2 linked regions of the Rattus norvegicus genome follow. The protein of the gene in region 1 interacts with the protein of each later gene in a pairwise test. Links are inferred from orthologs where the notes say so. Each region holds a gene or a part of one and is shown on either strand. Other genes may lie near its edges.

Region 1 (7,433 bases):
AACCTGAAGGTGGTGAGGCTGCCCCTGTGTGTGGTATTCTCCCCTGGAGAGTATGCTCAGAACTGCTCAAGGAAGAGTAAAACAATAACCAGGAGATCATAATCAAGTTTGTCACAGATTTCTTGACTTAGCATTGTAATCTCTCATTTGTTTTGAATATTTTGAATAATCTTTCTTAACAAATAGAAAAGATAGCTCCTCTCATAAAATGTGGGTTGTTTGTAAAGGGTGGTTTGGACTCTAGCTCTGTACTTCCGGGAGTTGACTGGCACATGCTATTTGGGGTTTCTTTATCCACCTACAGTGTTATTGAAAGGGTCAGTTATGATGAGTGAATGTCTATGAAGTACTAAGAAACTGCCCAACCCTTGCCCAACCCTTACTTTACTTATCCCACTGTATTCTATTGCAGCTACACTAACCTTAGGTCAGACAATTAAAAACAATTTAAAACCATTTGCCTAAGGGCACAGGTTTGTCATCCTCCCATTTAGGAGAATGGGTAAGGAGAACAGACAGCTTACAGGCAGACGGGACCACTAGCCTAATTTGCCTCTACGGTTGTGACAATGACCATGGCCAAAAGCAGCCTGGGAAGGACAGGGTTATTTGGTTCCCACATTCTGGTGCCAGTACATCATTAAGGGAAAACAAGGCAAAGGTTCAAGAAGGCCAGAACCCGGAGGCAGAACTAAAGCAGAGATAAAGGGGGGCTGGGGCTTCCTGGCTTGTTCACTAGGCCCTATGCTCAGTTACCTTTCCTATATCTCCCAGCACCATCTGCCTATCCATATGCCACTCCCATACTAATTATCAGTCAAGAAAATGCCCCGTAGACCTGGCTACAGGCTAAGGTAAGGTTCCTGGATGTGTCTAGATTTGTGTGAAGTTGATCAAACCAAACCAAACAACAAACCAAACAACAAATGAAACCAACAAATAACTTACCAGGACAGGTACATAGTGGGGTACAGGACAAACCTAGGTTATACCCCAAACCTTGCCTCAAATAAACAAAACAGGAACACAGTCATAGTTTGTTTTTAATGCAACCTGTTATACAGGTAGTTCCATGGTCCCAGACCGCTGAATTTCAGATGTCAGAAAAGGAGAGAGGATGGAACACTGTACTCCTCTCCTTTTTTGCTCCCAAAGTAATTCGGAGTCAAATAGGAATAAGCATAGCCTTGTCTCTCCCATATAACACACTTTACAGTGGAAGAGGTCTGTGAACATTCCTATTCCCAGAACAAAAAACTCCTAAGTCAAAATACTTAAATGCATCACGGGGCGACATCAGGTAGGTGGACTACAGCAAGCTAGGGAAATTTCTTGTATCTTTTCCAGATGTTATAACATTCTCAGCTTTAGAACTATTGGAAGCTAGTGGTCTTCCACTTTAAGGATACATTCCAACAGTTTTACCTAATAATCGCAAGTCAGAGTCAAAGGTTGGTAATAAGTGCCCATTCAGAGAACTAAAGATAGCTCAAGATAAACTTGATTAAGTGTGTATACCAGGTTTCTATCCTTTCACATTTGAAGTTCTAGGCATTTGGTCAGTCCATAGGATTGCCAGCACAGATAAAATTTCTTCAGAGAACTTCGAGTCACATGTTCTCTGAGCAGGTCTTGGGAGTTCTGGGTGGCTGGATTGGCTCAGGGCTCTAGAATTATCTGAGATAACAACACTGTACTCAGGGTAAAATTGTGTGAGAACTCCTGCATCGCCCAGAAGAGAGTCCAGTTGGAGAATGACTAGCCTGGTTCAGAGTTCCATCTAAACTGATGTCCTGTGGATATAGAACCTTGGACAAGTTGGGGATGGGGGGGGGGTAAATTTGCTTTTCCCATCTTTCTGAGTTCTAGTAATTCATCAAAACAACCCATAATTTTATTTCGAGATAAAGAAACGGAAAAATAAAACAAGGTTAAGAATGCTTCTCAGAAATTAAATCCAGGTTCTGGCAGGTAGAAACTGGTTACTTTGGTCTTTGACCCCTAGGTCTCAGTTTCTTTACCCAAAGTCTGTAGTTTGTAGGCAAGTGTTTAAAGATATTACTGGTTTTGTTTGTTGTCTTATCATCAGTGCAGAGGGTACTCAGCTTGGTGGAATTTCAAATATGAGAGCCTAGTATTTCAGATTCCTTCATATTCCCAACTAGTACTGTGTGTTCATCAGGTTCAAGAGCAGGTATTACCAGTCCCCATCAGGACCTGACCAGTCACTGGGCCACAGAACTGACCATCTGATAAGACTGAATGCAGGCTTTTCCTTGTTTTCTCCCTTTGCTATCCGCCTCCATGCTGTGAGGCAAAGAAAACCTCTTTCCTAAGTGCTGTGTATTCTGTGACTCCACTATGGGATGTGTCACAGGCAGAAAGACCTAGCCTGGGGACCTGCTGCTCTTTGAAGGGAGTGTGCTCGTCTTCCCTACATAAGATTAAAAGAGGCGTCTCTCTGTAAGGTGCCAGAACTTTCTGGAGACTACTACTGAGGGATTAGCATTGACTAACCCTGTTTAGACTCTGAAATAGCGCAGAAAGCTGGATCACACGCTGCAATGGCCTAGGTTTCTGAAGCCATCCCTACCCATTTAGCTGGGCCGCAGGCGCTGGGCCGTGGGCCTACAAGCCCCAGCATGCCTCGGGAGGCGGGGCAAGTTGACAGACAGGCGATTCTACAAATTGGCTATTGCCGTGGGATGTACGCGCTAGCGCATGCGCAGGAGGCAGCGGGCGGGTGGGCTGGCAGCGGTGGACTCGCGTCGGAGCCGCGGGCGGTCAGGTAGGGGGCGGGAAGGAGGGTCTGCGATCAGGGACTGTGGTGGGTCGCGGGGCTCCAAGATTGAATGGCAGAATTTGGGGACTGGATCTGAGTGGCAGGACCGGGTTGGGGAGGGACGGGCTCAGGAGCGATTCGGCGGGGCTGAGATGCAGCTGGGGGAGGGGAGCAAAGGGGCTGAGGAAATTTGCAGTTGCAGCATGTCGGGAGAGAGGTATGAGGTAATGTGGGGGCCATGCGGAGAGACGGGGTGCAGCATGTGTAAGATGCGAGGACCTGAAGTGCCTGGAGGTATCTGGGTGCATACTATCAGAAGCAGAAAGGAATTTGGCAGGCCTGGATGAGATTGGGTGTTGGCGGGCAGAATCTTAAGGGCTTTGAGGAGATCGGTGTAATGGTAGCAAGATCCGAGATCAAAACAGCCAGAGTCTTGGAAGATCCTAAATGCTGAAGAGAAAGGGATTTCTGTAGCGGAATCTGGGAAAGATTGAGGGGTGAGTTCCCAAGGGAATCAGTACCCAGTTAGCAAATCGCAGCAAAGGTTTGAAGGCAACACGTGAGGCAGGACGGGGGCGGGGGTGGGGAGGTTGGAGGTGGCACAGTACAAGATGGGGAATGCAGATGAGGGAAAAGGTTGAAGGAGGCAGAGTCTAAGGTACAGGATTGGAGTTTGGAGCTGCCATACGTGGGTGATAGGAGTGGAAGTTTGAAAATAGATGAAAGGATGTAGGGAGTTTGAAAATAGATGAAAGGATGTACCAGAGGGATGTGGGACACATAAGAGCTATTGGTGAGTTGCAGGGTTGCAACATACACAGTCTAAGAGGTTGAATTCTAGATTTGGGATTTATTGTTGAGAATGGGGTTTGTAAAGGATTGAATGGTGGGGAGTGAATGTTGTAACTAGATTGTACAATTCAAAACCAGGTGAAATTTCTGAGACCACTAAAGGAGGTGTTTGTTTGTTTGTTTGTTTTGTTTCTTGATTTCTGCATAATTGAACCCAGAGGGTGTTCTGAAGACCCAGGGACCTGAAAGTAATTTATAAATAAACTATGCATGAATGAATGGAATTTAGGAGAATGTAGGGGTTTGGAAATAAAGACACTGGTCTTCAGAAATCCTGAAGGAGAGTTTGACATTCTCTGAAGGGCAGAGTCTTCCTCACTTGCTAACTAAAGGCCCTTTAATCCTGAGGCAGACAGGTATTCTCACTAAATCCACTCTGACCACCCCAACTTCCCCACCACAGACTCAACATTATAGGCCTTGGGGAAGAACAATAAACTACCTAGGGGCTTTGCTACTTATCCCTTTCTCTGTACCCCTAAGCCCTCAAAGGTATAAGCCAAAATTATCTTAGATCTGACATCATTTTATAGAAGGTCTATTATAGCACAAAGAGGCAGTGATTCTATGAATGAAGTATTAGAATTGGGCGAGAAACAAAACAGGGTTGGAGCAAGGGAGAGCCTCACATGTACTGAGTATTTAGACTGTATCATTACCTAAAACCATAGTTCTCAGATAGGGTGGTTTTGTTCTGCCAGGAAACATTTGACCATGTCTGGATGGAGGCATTGTCAGTTGTCATAATTGAGGGGTTGTGGGGGTCTACTGATTTCTAGTGAACAACCCCCACAATAAACTGTCACCTAGCCAGAAATGCCAATCATGCCACAAATGAGGGACCTAGCAAGAGAGTCAAGAATTCTGGGTCCAAATCCTGGCTTTTTCTCTTCCTGCTTTGAAATCTTAAGACTTATTTGACCTCTCAATGCACAAGTTTGACCTCTCAATGCACAAGCTCTTCAGAGACCTGCATCCTAGGATTGCTGTACGGACTCAGTGAAATAAATCGGGGTACTTACTGTCTAGTGCCTAGTAAGTGTTAAGAATTTACTACTCTCAAAGATCTATGTGTACTTTCTTCTCATGGCAGTCCTTCTAAATATACTTTCTATGTCCAGTGTGACACATGAAACTAAGGCTTAGGAGATCACTTGTGTAAAGCCACATCACCAAAACTGGCAGAAGTAAACTGCCGTGTAAATTGCCACCACAGAATCTCCCCTCTTGCTTCTTTGCTGCAGTCGTCTTGGTCCTCCCTTTTCAGACTTTCCTAATGAAAAGGAGGCTTGCCCCATATTCAAAAGTGGGGTGACTTTTCTTGATCAGCAGAAGCCCTGGACTTTGTTCTTGCTTTGCTCTTAGACCAGAACCAGTGGGGAGATAGTGCAAGGAGTTTGGAGCTACGAAGCTGAGATAAGAAGACTCTGGCCCAAGGACAGTGCTAGACTGAAGGAGACTGCTCTGAATACCCTCCTTTGTGTATTTTGGTCTCAGGAACAGAAAGGTAGCATTGTCTTTATCAACTCCAAACCTAGCTACATTACAGGAGGCAATTTCCTAGTTAAAATCAGACTGGAGCTGAGGGCAGAACACTTGACTGTGATATCCACACAGATCACTTCTGGAAACACATGATGGAGCAGGTTCAGTTAGCCTTGGAATCAGGTGTTTTACTGCTTGTTTGGTGGTCAAGCACTAGTCAGCCTCTGTCTATAAACAGAGTGAACTCCACTGAGTGCTGACTAGTGTACATTCTCTCCATAAAGCTCACAATGTAAATGTTGCTCTTGATTCCATAAGGTGGGAAGTTAATAGGTAAGTTGCATGACATATCCTGGGCTTCAGAGCCTATGGCTAAGTGGGCATGTGAATCAGAAGTCACAAGTTGGCAAGCCTCCTAAAGTATGCCCCTCCGTATGCAGATGGTGTTACATTTTGAAGACTTCTTCCATTGTGCCTTTCTGATAGGACAGTATGGTTTAAAAGTCATTCCTGGATGAATTTACCCACCTGTTAGCCATATCTTGCCTGCAGGTAACAGTAGTCATATCCTCTATGAAAGTACATGTTTCAAGTGGGCCCTGTTGTGGCATAGTTCACATGTGGGCATCTGAGGGATGACGCTACTACAGTCCATGGTGGTAGAACCTGGACAGGTTACTTTTTTCTGAGTGTTAATTAGGATGTGGACTAACACTTCCTTCACAGAGTTAAGAGAACACATGTGATGTGTAGAAGGTGCCTGGCACTCACTACCCCAGGTGGCAGTTAGAAGATATGGTTTTAGCTATTAGCAGGCATCATAAGTGCCCCCAATCTAAAGTTCACAGACTTGTCTCCCTGGCCAGAGCTAAGGGAATGGTGAGTTTTGTTAGTGAGTGGCCTTTGTGGCACTGAGACCGGTTCACACTTGGTTCAAACTGGGTTAAAGTGCATAAGAAATAAAGCTTGAGTGCTGGCCCAAAAGGGAGTGATTAGTCTCTAAACAAAATAAAAGCACCCACAAACCACATGAGCATATTAATTGTAGAATGTTCCTTCATATCAAATTTTTAGATTTTTTTTTTTTTATATCTCTTTCTAAAAGTTGTCTCCATCCCCATCTTGTCGGGGCTAAACTAGTGGTAAATGCTTAATAAAGACCAGCTTCTTTAATTGTTTAAGGTTCTCCAGGTTTGCTTATGGCCCAATCGCCCAAGGAACAAGATGGGCATAGGAAATAAAGGTGTCTAAAGAATTCCGTTAGATTGAAATCAAGTACTCAAACTTTGGCTCTGCTTGAGATCAAATAGCAATCTCCCAGGAGGCCCTGAGTTTAGATTATTTAACTGGATGTCTAGCGCCTTAGATATCTGCCTTACGACAGGTGCCTGTTCATTTCATATCACAGGCTGGCTGGTGGCTATGGCAAGCAGTAGCAATTGCAGCCACTGCTGCTAATAATAATAAAGGCTCATCTACACAGTTAATTCTGTGCCTAACTTGGTGCTGTCCAAAGTGCTTTAGCTTAGTGTCTTCTCCTCGCCTGTGAGAAGGGATCACCTTAAAAGGCCATTTCATATATAAGCTGAGATGTTAAGTAACCTTTCAGATCTTCACTGTAAGTGGTAGAGCTGGGATCTAAAGCCAGAGTGCTCTGGTCCTGAATGTACTTAATGCTTGTAGCACCATTAGTTTCTAGCCTGTTCCCCTTTGCTGGAGTTCTGCCCTGTGATGTGTGAGTAGCTAGTCTTCCCCTCTTGGTCTCAGTTTCCTCATTTGTAGTACTCTGGGTCACAGCTCACTCTAGCTCTGTGTATTTAGTCTCTGCTAGAAGGGGCCTCAGTAGTTGCTATGTTAATTAAAGTGGTGATTTCATTTACTCCTTGCTTCCTAGCCTAGGTGACCACCTTCTCAACTGAATCCCTCCCAAGTTAACTTGGCCTTTGAGTGATCTTTATGTGCCTTTGCAGCCCATGAAAGGATAATTCTCCATTCCTTTCAAAACTTAGATTACAAACTGAATTGTTTGCTAATACCAGGACTGTTTATGATTCTTAATGCTCTTGATTGCTAACAGAATTAGGTTAAATAGTCACTGTCATCAACTATGTTTAGTCACTGCTTGCCTGCCAGTTATCAGCCTAAGTATCTACATGTATTATCCCTAGTTTTCATGGTAATTTTCTTTTTTTTCTTTTCTTTCTTTCTTTTTTTTTTAAACTAAGAAAATAGGTAGAGAGGCGTTAAAGCATTTGTCAGGCCTAGAATGTCTGAATAACTTGCCAGGCATGGAAAAGTTAAGTAATCTGTCAGG
Region 2 (7,433 bases), on another chromosome or scaffold:
AAGCACAAGGCCCTGGGTTCGGTCCCCAGCCCCGAAAAAAAGAAAAAGAAAAAAAGAAAAAGAAAAATTCGAAGGCTTCATCACTGCTAAACAAAACAACCAACTGCTCAGAAGCTGCCAAGCCCTCGCCAGGAGGATTCTAGATCAATGCAGGGGCAGAAGAAAATGAGTCAAACTCAGGAGGGACAAGCTGTTCTGTTCGACAGCTATTTCTTGAACAATTTCAGAGCTAGGTACTGGGGTGGACACAGAGACTGGCCTCTACAGCTTGCCCCACAGTTGACCTTGTGAGCTGATCCCAACCTGTGGTCTGACCAGTCCTTCTGTGGCCCAGCAGGATCACCAGGCTCAGAATGGCCCACCCAGAGCCTCCAACCTGCTTTCTGGGCTGTGCTGGGACTTGTTCCTCAGCTTCTGCCTTTTGGAATAGGTTAAGCACTGAAGCCCAGGATAAACATCTGGTCTTAGGCAATCCCTCCTGGGAGTACCTGGTGGAGGCCACTAGAGGCTTCACCCCTCCCTCCTGTCACTGCCTTTAGATTCATGAGAGAACAAGGGAAGGGCTCACTAGGAGACAATTTACACAGCCCAACAACCTGGCACCCACAGGCATAATCACATGTTATTCACACACACACACACACACACACACACACACACACACACACACACACACTGCCTGCATGGGGTTGGGGAGGGTCCAGCTGACCTAAGGACCCAGGTGAAATGTCCGTGAAATCAGTCCCCTCAGGCTGTGAGCGAGGCTCTTCCTGACCTTTTCTGAAACCAGGCTGAAGTATTTATATCACTCCAGAAGACTCCTAGCCCAGATGTCAAAGCTCTCCTTCAACCTAGGGATCAGGGCTCTTCAAAATCAGTCACAGACAATGCAATTGCCAATTCAATACCACCATCATGGTGCTAGTAATCAAGTGACTTCTCTTTCCCAAGGAATTTGTCTTTATACAATATACCTGTCCCCAGTGCAGCCAGAGATGGTAGTCCCCAGCCCTCCCCCAGGTGCTAAGCTTGGTGTTCTATCCTGGAAATCAAAGTGTAGGGCATGTGGGGGGGGGGGTGGGAGGGTGCTTTAGGGAGGCACTGCTGCCGGAATAGAACAAGCTGGGCTCTGTGGAGTTAAGAGAAGCAGGAGTTTCACAGATGCCAGGGCAGGGGAAAGGGCACTGTCAAACACGGTTCTTCCAAGGGCCAGGATAGAAGAACCTGTCTAGTACTCTTGGCGGTAGCAATCTGGCGACCACAGCCTCAAAACCAACCTCCAGCCTCTGCCCGCTGAATCTGAACAAAGCCATCACCCAAGAACAGCATTGCCCTTTCATGAGTTGAGCCAGAGACCCAGTCGGAAAGGAAGGGTGAAGTGGGGAGAGAAGCCCCATTAAGTGAACTTGGAAGAAGGAGGAAGGTGTTGAAGGGAACAAAGGAGACGCGTGGCAGAAACTAATGCAGGATCCAGACCATCTTGTAAACCCAATAACTTAAGCCCTGTAGCAGGGCCTCTGTGCAGCAGAGGGTGCACACTACAGGTTGTGCACACGCGTGTGCGTGCATGCATGCAAGGGTGCACATGCACAGGGTGGAGGTCAGAGGTCAACGTCAGGTGTCTTCGTCTGTCACCCACAGTCTTGTTTTTCAGACAGGACTTCTCACTGAATCTGAATCCTGCCCATTTGATGGGCTCATCAGTCAGTTTCCAGGTTTCCCTGGTCCCCACCTCCCCAGGGCTGGAATTCAAGGCATATCTAGCTTTTTTGCATGAATGTTTGAGAGCCAAATTCAGTTCCTCATACTTGCCCAATAGGCATAGTATATCCACTGAGCCATGTCCCCAACTCATTATGTTCACCTCATTCATTCATTCATCCATCCATCCATCCATCCATCCATTCATTCATTCAGGTTTGGTTTGGTTTGGTTTTAGTGTTTTGGGTTTTTTTTCAAGACAGGGTTTCTCTGTGTAGCCCTGGCTGCCCTGAAACTAACTTTCTTACTTACTTTCTTTCTTTCTTCCTTCCTTCCTTTCTTTCTTTAAGTTGGTTTGGGTTTTTTGGGGGGGGGAGGGTTTGGGTTTTTTTGTTTGTTTGTATTTTATTCAAGGAAAGGCTCCTCTGGGTTGCCCTGGCTGCCCTGGAAGGAATTCTATAGCCAGGCTGACCATGAACTCAGAAATCTACCTGCCTCTCCCTCTGCCTCCCAAGTGCTAGGATTAAAGGTGTGTGACACACACACAACTGGCTCTACATTTGACACTCACAGTATTCTGCACACAGCCACAGGGCTGTATCGCTAAGAGGCCATGTCACAGGTCCAGGAAGGCTTCACTGTTTAATAACTGGTTTGGAATTTGGAAGTGGGAAAGTATGTAGAGACAATCTCACTCTAGGACTCAAAGACAGAGATAAAATGCTCTTTAGAAACCTATTCTGTGGGGGAACAGAATCAGAACTCTATGTCAGCCTCTGTGCTAGCTGGGGTCAGGCCAGAGACACAGAAATGAGCTAAGCCTACAGTGAGAACTGATACGCAGGACAGTTGAGAACAATGGGAAAGTGCATCTGAAGGGCCCAAGGCCACTAGGAAAAAGGCAACCCAAAATGCCCACAACTTTAAATCCCCTTCCTGATGTGTCATTAGATGCAAACGGCCCTGGGGAGGATGTGACGTTAAACAAGGCAGTGTTCTGTACAGGGGCAGATCCTGCAGTTACTGGAAGCTGAAGGCTCCAGGCTGACCACACTAGGTAGGAAGTTCATGAAATGAGCTCTCGAAGCGCCTCTTCAGGTCTTCCCCGATGTCCAGCCCCACCAGCACCGTAGCAGGTACTGGGCATCTATTGATTGGGTGGGTAGGTGAACATTTGAGACAACCTGGAAGTTTAAATGGGATTTGTGGAAATAGAGAGGGTGTTGGTTCCAGCCAAGCCAGGTTCCATGCTAAGACATAAAAGCACTGGAGAAGTAAAAGAGTTAACGCTGAACATGGCCGTGGGAAGCAAGGAGACCAAGGTAAAGCCTGGGAATGGCTAACACTTGAGAACTGTCAACATCATGAAAGGATAAGAAAGAATGGCCAAGGAAAGAAAACAGGAAAGAGCTGAGTGTGGGAGAGGCCTGGAGAGAATGGGGCAAGAAGTGGGAGGCTAAAGGGTAAGGGCAAGGGAGGGTCAAGTCAGATGAGGACTGAAGGTGCTTTCAACTGGTAGGACTTGAGGGCTGCTCTGGGTAGGAGCCAGCCCGGTCTGGGCCCTGGGTCTCTCATGTGTTCTATGGAGAAGTCTTTATATTTGTTCATGTGTATTGTATGTGGGCTCTAACCTGGCCAACAATGCCCAAGAATCAAGTGATTTTTGTGGCTTGAAGTCTAGCCACTTTCCTTGGAGGGAGGCAATAGAAGGAGCCTAGTGACATCTCGGACGGAGTCTGGGGTCTTTGTCCTTCCCCTTGATTCCTGAAGGGTCTCCAGCCTCTGGTTCTCCAGGGTTGGCAAGTCTACAATTGCTTCCCGGAACCTGGAGTGCTCAGTGCTTGACTTTAAAGAGGACACAGGTGCCTACAGTTCCACGACCTCTGGGTTCCCCGACGCCCCCCCCCCGCACTGCCCATTGCCCAAACACCCCACAAGTGGCCTATTGTGTGAGCTCAGTTTCAATGGGAAAAGAAACTGGGTTTATGAAAAGAGATTATTTGCTTATTGCATGGAGATGACTAAGTAAATAGTGCAATTTCTTGAGTGGAGCACAATCCCTGCCCCTACCTCTTGTGGGCTGCCAGGAACATATAAAAAGCCACACGCATACCCACACATACCCACACATACCCTCACATTACAACATCAGCCCACATCTACAGACAGCCCAAGCCTCCGGCCTCTACCATGAAGATCGCCATCACAATCACTGTGCTCATGCTGTCCATCTGCTGCAGCTCAGGTGAGTGCCCAGGGTGGCTTTCCCAAGATCAGAAGGATGTGGCTGCCTGGAAGGCCTGGATATGCCGACGCCTCTCAGAAACATTGAGTCCGATAACCAACGCTATTTTGTGATCTTGAGGAAAGCTTTGAACCTAGTCCACTGCGGGGACTAGGGGACTTGTGGGGAAGCTGGAGAGAGCCCATCTAGACCAGCACATCTGTCCAAAAACAGACTAGGAATAAGGAGCCCTTTGAAGCCTGGACTAGGACTGGCTTAAGGCGCTAAGAGATTTTGATGCAGCCACCAGGTTGGGGTTCGGGGGAAGGGGCTGGGAATGGGGGTCCCACCCAATGCTGGCGTTTGGTCTGGCAAGGGAAGTACACAGACTCATGTCCTCAAACCCAAGGCAAGGTCGCTTGTTCTGGGAGGAGAGGAATATTCCAGAAAAAGATCTTCCATTTGGAAAACTGCCAGCTCAGGGCGTAGTTTCCTAAACATTCTGTCCTCTGGAGAAAGGACCGGAGGTCTCTGAATACTTGTTGCTTTCACTATGCAGAAAGGAATGGGAAATGAGAGCAAGAGGGAGGAGGACGGAAGGTATCATTTTGAATTAAAATATTTACTCATTAGATATCAGTACTCTGCACAGAGGAGGGTGGCTCAGCAAGACAGTGCTAAAACATGTGAAGGGGTGGACTGGTAAGATATTTGCATAGCAACGTACTCACGTTTTAAAAACTCTGATTGTAAAACTCGTTAGTGCCACTTACAACGTGGCAGTCGCTGACCTCAGCCATTTTACGTACTATCCCTTTCATTTTCGTAACAACCCAGTGAGGTAGAGATGTTGTGCCCATTTTGCAGATTAGAAAACTGAGCCACTGGGAAATGAAACACCCTGCCTGGTGATGATATTATAGAGAGGGTTCAAGTTGGAGTGACCATCTTTTGGTTTGGAGGCAGGGTCTCATTCTGGTCTGAGTTCACAACCATCCTGCCTCAGCCTCCCTGATACTGTGAGTTATGCCCAGCTAGCATGGCCATTAGCTGGAGTGGCCATTTGGAGTAGGGTCCTGAGACAGAGCAGTGAAGTCAAATTTACAAACAATGCAGAGAATTCCAGTGCAGGAAATTTGAGACTAGGTTAGAAGTGGACGCAAACCCTAGGAAATCAAGCAGACAGCACCATCCAAACAGCACTGCAGTTGCAGGGAACATGGAGAGGTGAGAGTCTCACCTGCAAATGACTGTGCCATCAGATAAGAGCCCTTTTGTGCCTTCATCTTCCAGGCCAGGTTTGGGGACCATGCTGGACTGGGGTAAGGGCTGTATCACATGTTCTCAGTAACAAGACACAGACTGCCACTAGCCAAGGGTGAGAGACATTCTGATAGAAAGCAGGACTCCCAGAGGCCTCCGGCAGCTTTGGTAACACACTCTGTCTAGAATGATGGCAGAAACAATGGCCAACCCAAGCCAGGAATCCAAAGGCAGCTCAGGAAAGCCACAAAAGCTGGCTGTAACCTAGAAAGTCCTTGCATAGTGCCAGATTTTCAGCTGCTTGGAGCCTCCCAGAGCTTACACTGTACCACCCAAAGGCTGCTCTCTCTTGCTAGACTGGCTGGTCCAGCAGAGTGCCGGCTGGCGGCTCTTAGAGAAGGGGCTCCATTCATGTGCTTCCTTTTGCCTGCACTCCAGCCTCTTCGGACATCTGCCCAGGATTTCTTCAAGTCCTTGAGGCCCTCCTCCTAGGCTCAGAGTCTAATTATGAGGCAGCCCTGAAGCCTTTCAACCCTGCCTCAGACCTGCAAAATGCAGGAACCCAGCTGAAGAGGCTGGTGGATACCCTCCCACAGGAGACCAGAATAAACATCGTGAAGCTCACGGTACGCAACATCTGTCCCTCATGCTGATTCTAAGTGGTTCTCCAACCACAGTGTCACACCATTTTGGGGGTTACAAAGGCTAATGACTGTCTTAGCCATGCACCCTTCCTTTTCATGTGTGTGTGTGTGTGTGTGTGAGTGTGTGTGTGTGTGTGAGTGTGTGTGTCTGTATGAGTATGTGTGTGAATGTGTGTGTGTGAGTGTGTATGTATGTATGTATGTATGTGTGTGAGTGTGTGTAAGAGTGTGTGTGTGAGAGAGAGAGAGAGAATGTGTGAGTGTGTGTGGGTGTCTGTGTATGAGTATGTGTGTGAATGTGTGTGTGTGAATGTGTGTGTGAGTGTGTATGTATGTATGTATGTGTGTGAGTGTGTGTAAGAGTGTGTGTGTGTGAGAGAGAGTATGTGTGAGTGAGTGTGTGAGTGTGTGTGAGTGGGTGTGTGTGTGAGTGGGTGTGTGAGTATGTGTGTGTGTGGGTGTGAGTGTATGTGTGTGAGTGTGTGTGTGAATGTGTGTGTGAGAGTGTGTGTGGGTGTCTGTGTATGAGTATGTGTGTGAGTATGTGTGTGTGAGAGAGAGTGTGTGTGTGTGTGAGTGTATGTGTGTGAGTGTGTGTAAGAGTGTGTGTAAGAGTGTGTGTGTGAGAGAGTGTGTGAGTGTGTGTGAGAGAGAGTGTGTGTGTGAGAGTGTGTAAGAGTGTGTGTGTGTGAGAGTGTGTGTGTGAGAGAGTGTGTGTGTGAGTGTATGTGTGTGAGTGTATGTGTGTGAGTGTGTGTAAGAGTGTGTGTGTGTGAGAGAGAGTGTGTGTGTGTGAGAGAGAGAGTGTGTGTGTGAGAGTGTGTAAGAGTGTGTGTGTGAGAGAGAGAGAGAGAGAGTGTGTGTGTGTGTGTGTGTGTGTGAGAGAGAGAGAGAGAGAGAGAGAGAGAGAGAGAGAGAGAGTGTGTGAGTGTGTGTGTGCTTGCCTCACTGTCCCCAAACCCCTGGGGTCAAGTGTTATTCCCACCTCAGCCTCCTGAGTGGCTAGAACTATAAGCTTGGACCTGCACATCCAGCTGCACTGACTTTTTTCCATAAGAATTTTGACATTTTATTTACTTAGTGGGAGTGTGTATGTGTATGTCGCAGATGCGGCGGTCAGAGGACAGTCTTTAAGGAGTTGGATCCTTCCTCCCACCACGTGGGTCCTGTGGATCAAACGCAGAGTCAAGTGTGATGGCAGAAGCATTTGCAGCTATGACTTTTTACCTGCCTTTTTTATTGATGTCTTTGAGAAAACCATCCATGGCTTCCTAACCCTCAATTCCTCTCAAATCTTACTGTGGCTTTTGTCGGTTAAGTCTCTGCACCACTACTCTGTCTACTCCAAGGTTCACTAACTATTTGGGGGGCGGGGTTCTTTATTCTAGGAGAAGATCCTAACAAGTCCTCTGTGTGAGCAAGATTTAAGAGTCTGAAGCTCACTGGATTTCAGAGATATTCTACGCTAAAGGCCCCTGTCATTGCCCTCTGCCTCCTTGACCTCCCTACACCAACCCCGCCTTCCTCTTTGCAATAAACTTCGAGCATCTCACTTGCCTGTGTGCACTAGTCCTTCTCTGTACCTGCTGAGCCAGAAAGGC

The links.
Region 2: the proteins of Trim32 (region 1) and Scgb1a1 interact in binary tests that used the Homo sapiens proteins (3 or more experiments, as listed by UniProt). The two-hybrid records come from large-scale screens. The link is inferred for Rattus norvegicus from reciprocal best matches to the Homo sapiens genes TRIM32 and SCGB1A1.

Annotation. Positions count from the first base shown.
Region 1 is NC_086023.1:84,017,901-84,025,333, forward strand, and holds the start of Trim32 (E3 ubiquitin-protein ligase TRIM32), read left to right. Parts: upstream 1-2,731; 5' UTR 2,732-2,788; intron 2,789-7,433. UniProt on the Homo sapiens protein: E3 ubiquitin ligase that plays a role in various biological processes including neural stem cell differentiation, innate immunity, inflammatory resonse and autophagy.
Region 2 is NC_086019.1:215,406,088-215,413,520, reverse strand, and holds Scgb1a1 (uteroglobin precursor), read left to right. Parts: upstream 1-3,834; 5' UTR 3,835-3,891; coding exon 3,892-3,946; intron 3,947-5,626; coding exon 5,627-5,814; intron 5,815-7,220; coding exon 7,221-7,268; 3' UTR 7,269-7,383; downstream 7,384-7,433. UniProt on the Homo sapiens protein: Binds phosphatidylcholine, phosphatidylinositol, polychlorinated biphenyls (PCB) and weakly progesterone, potent inhibitor of phospholipase A2.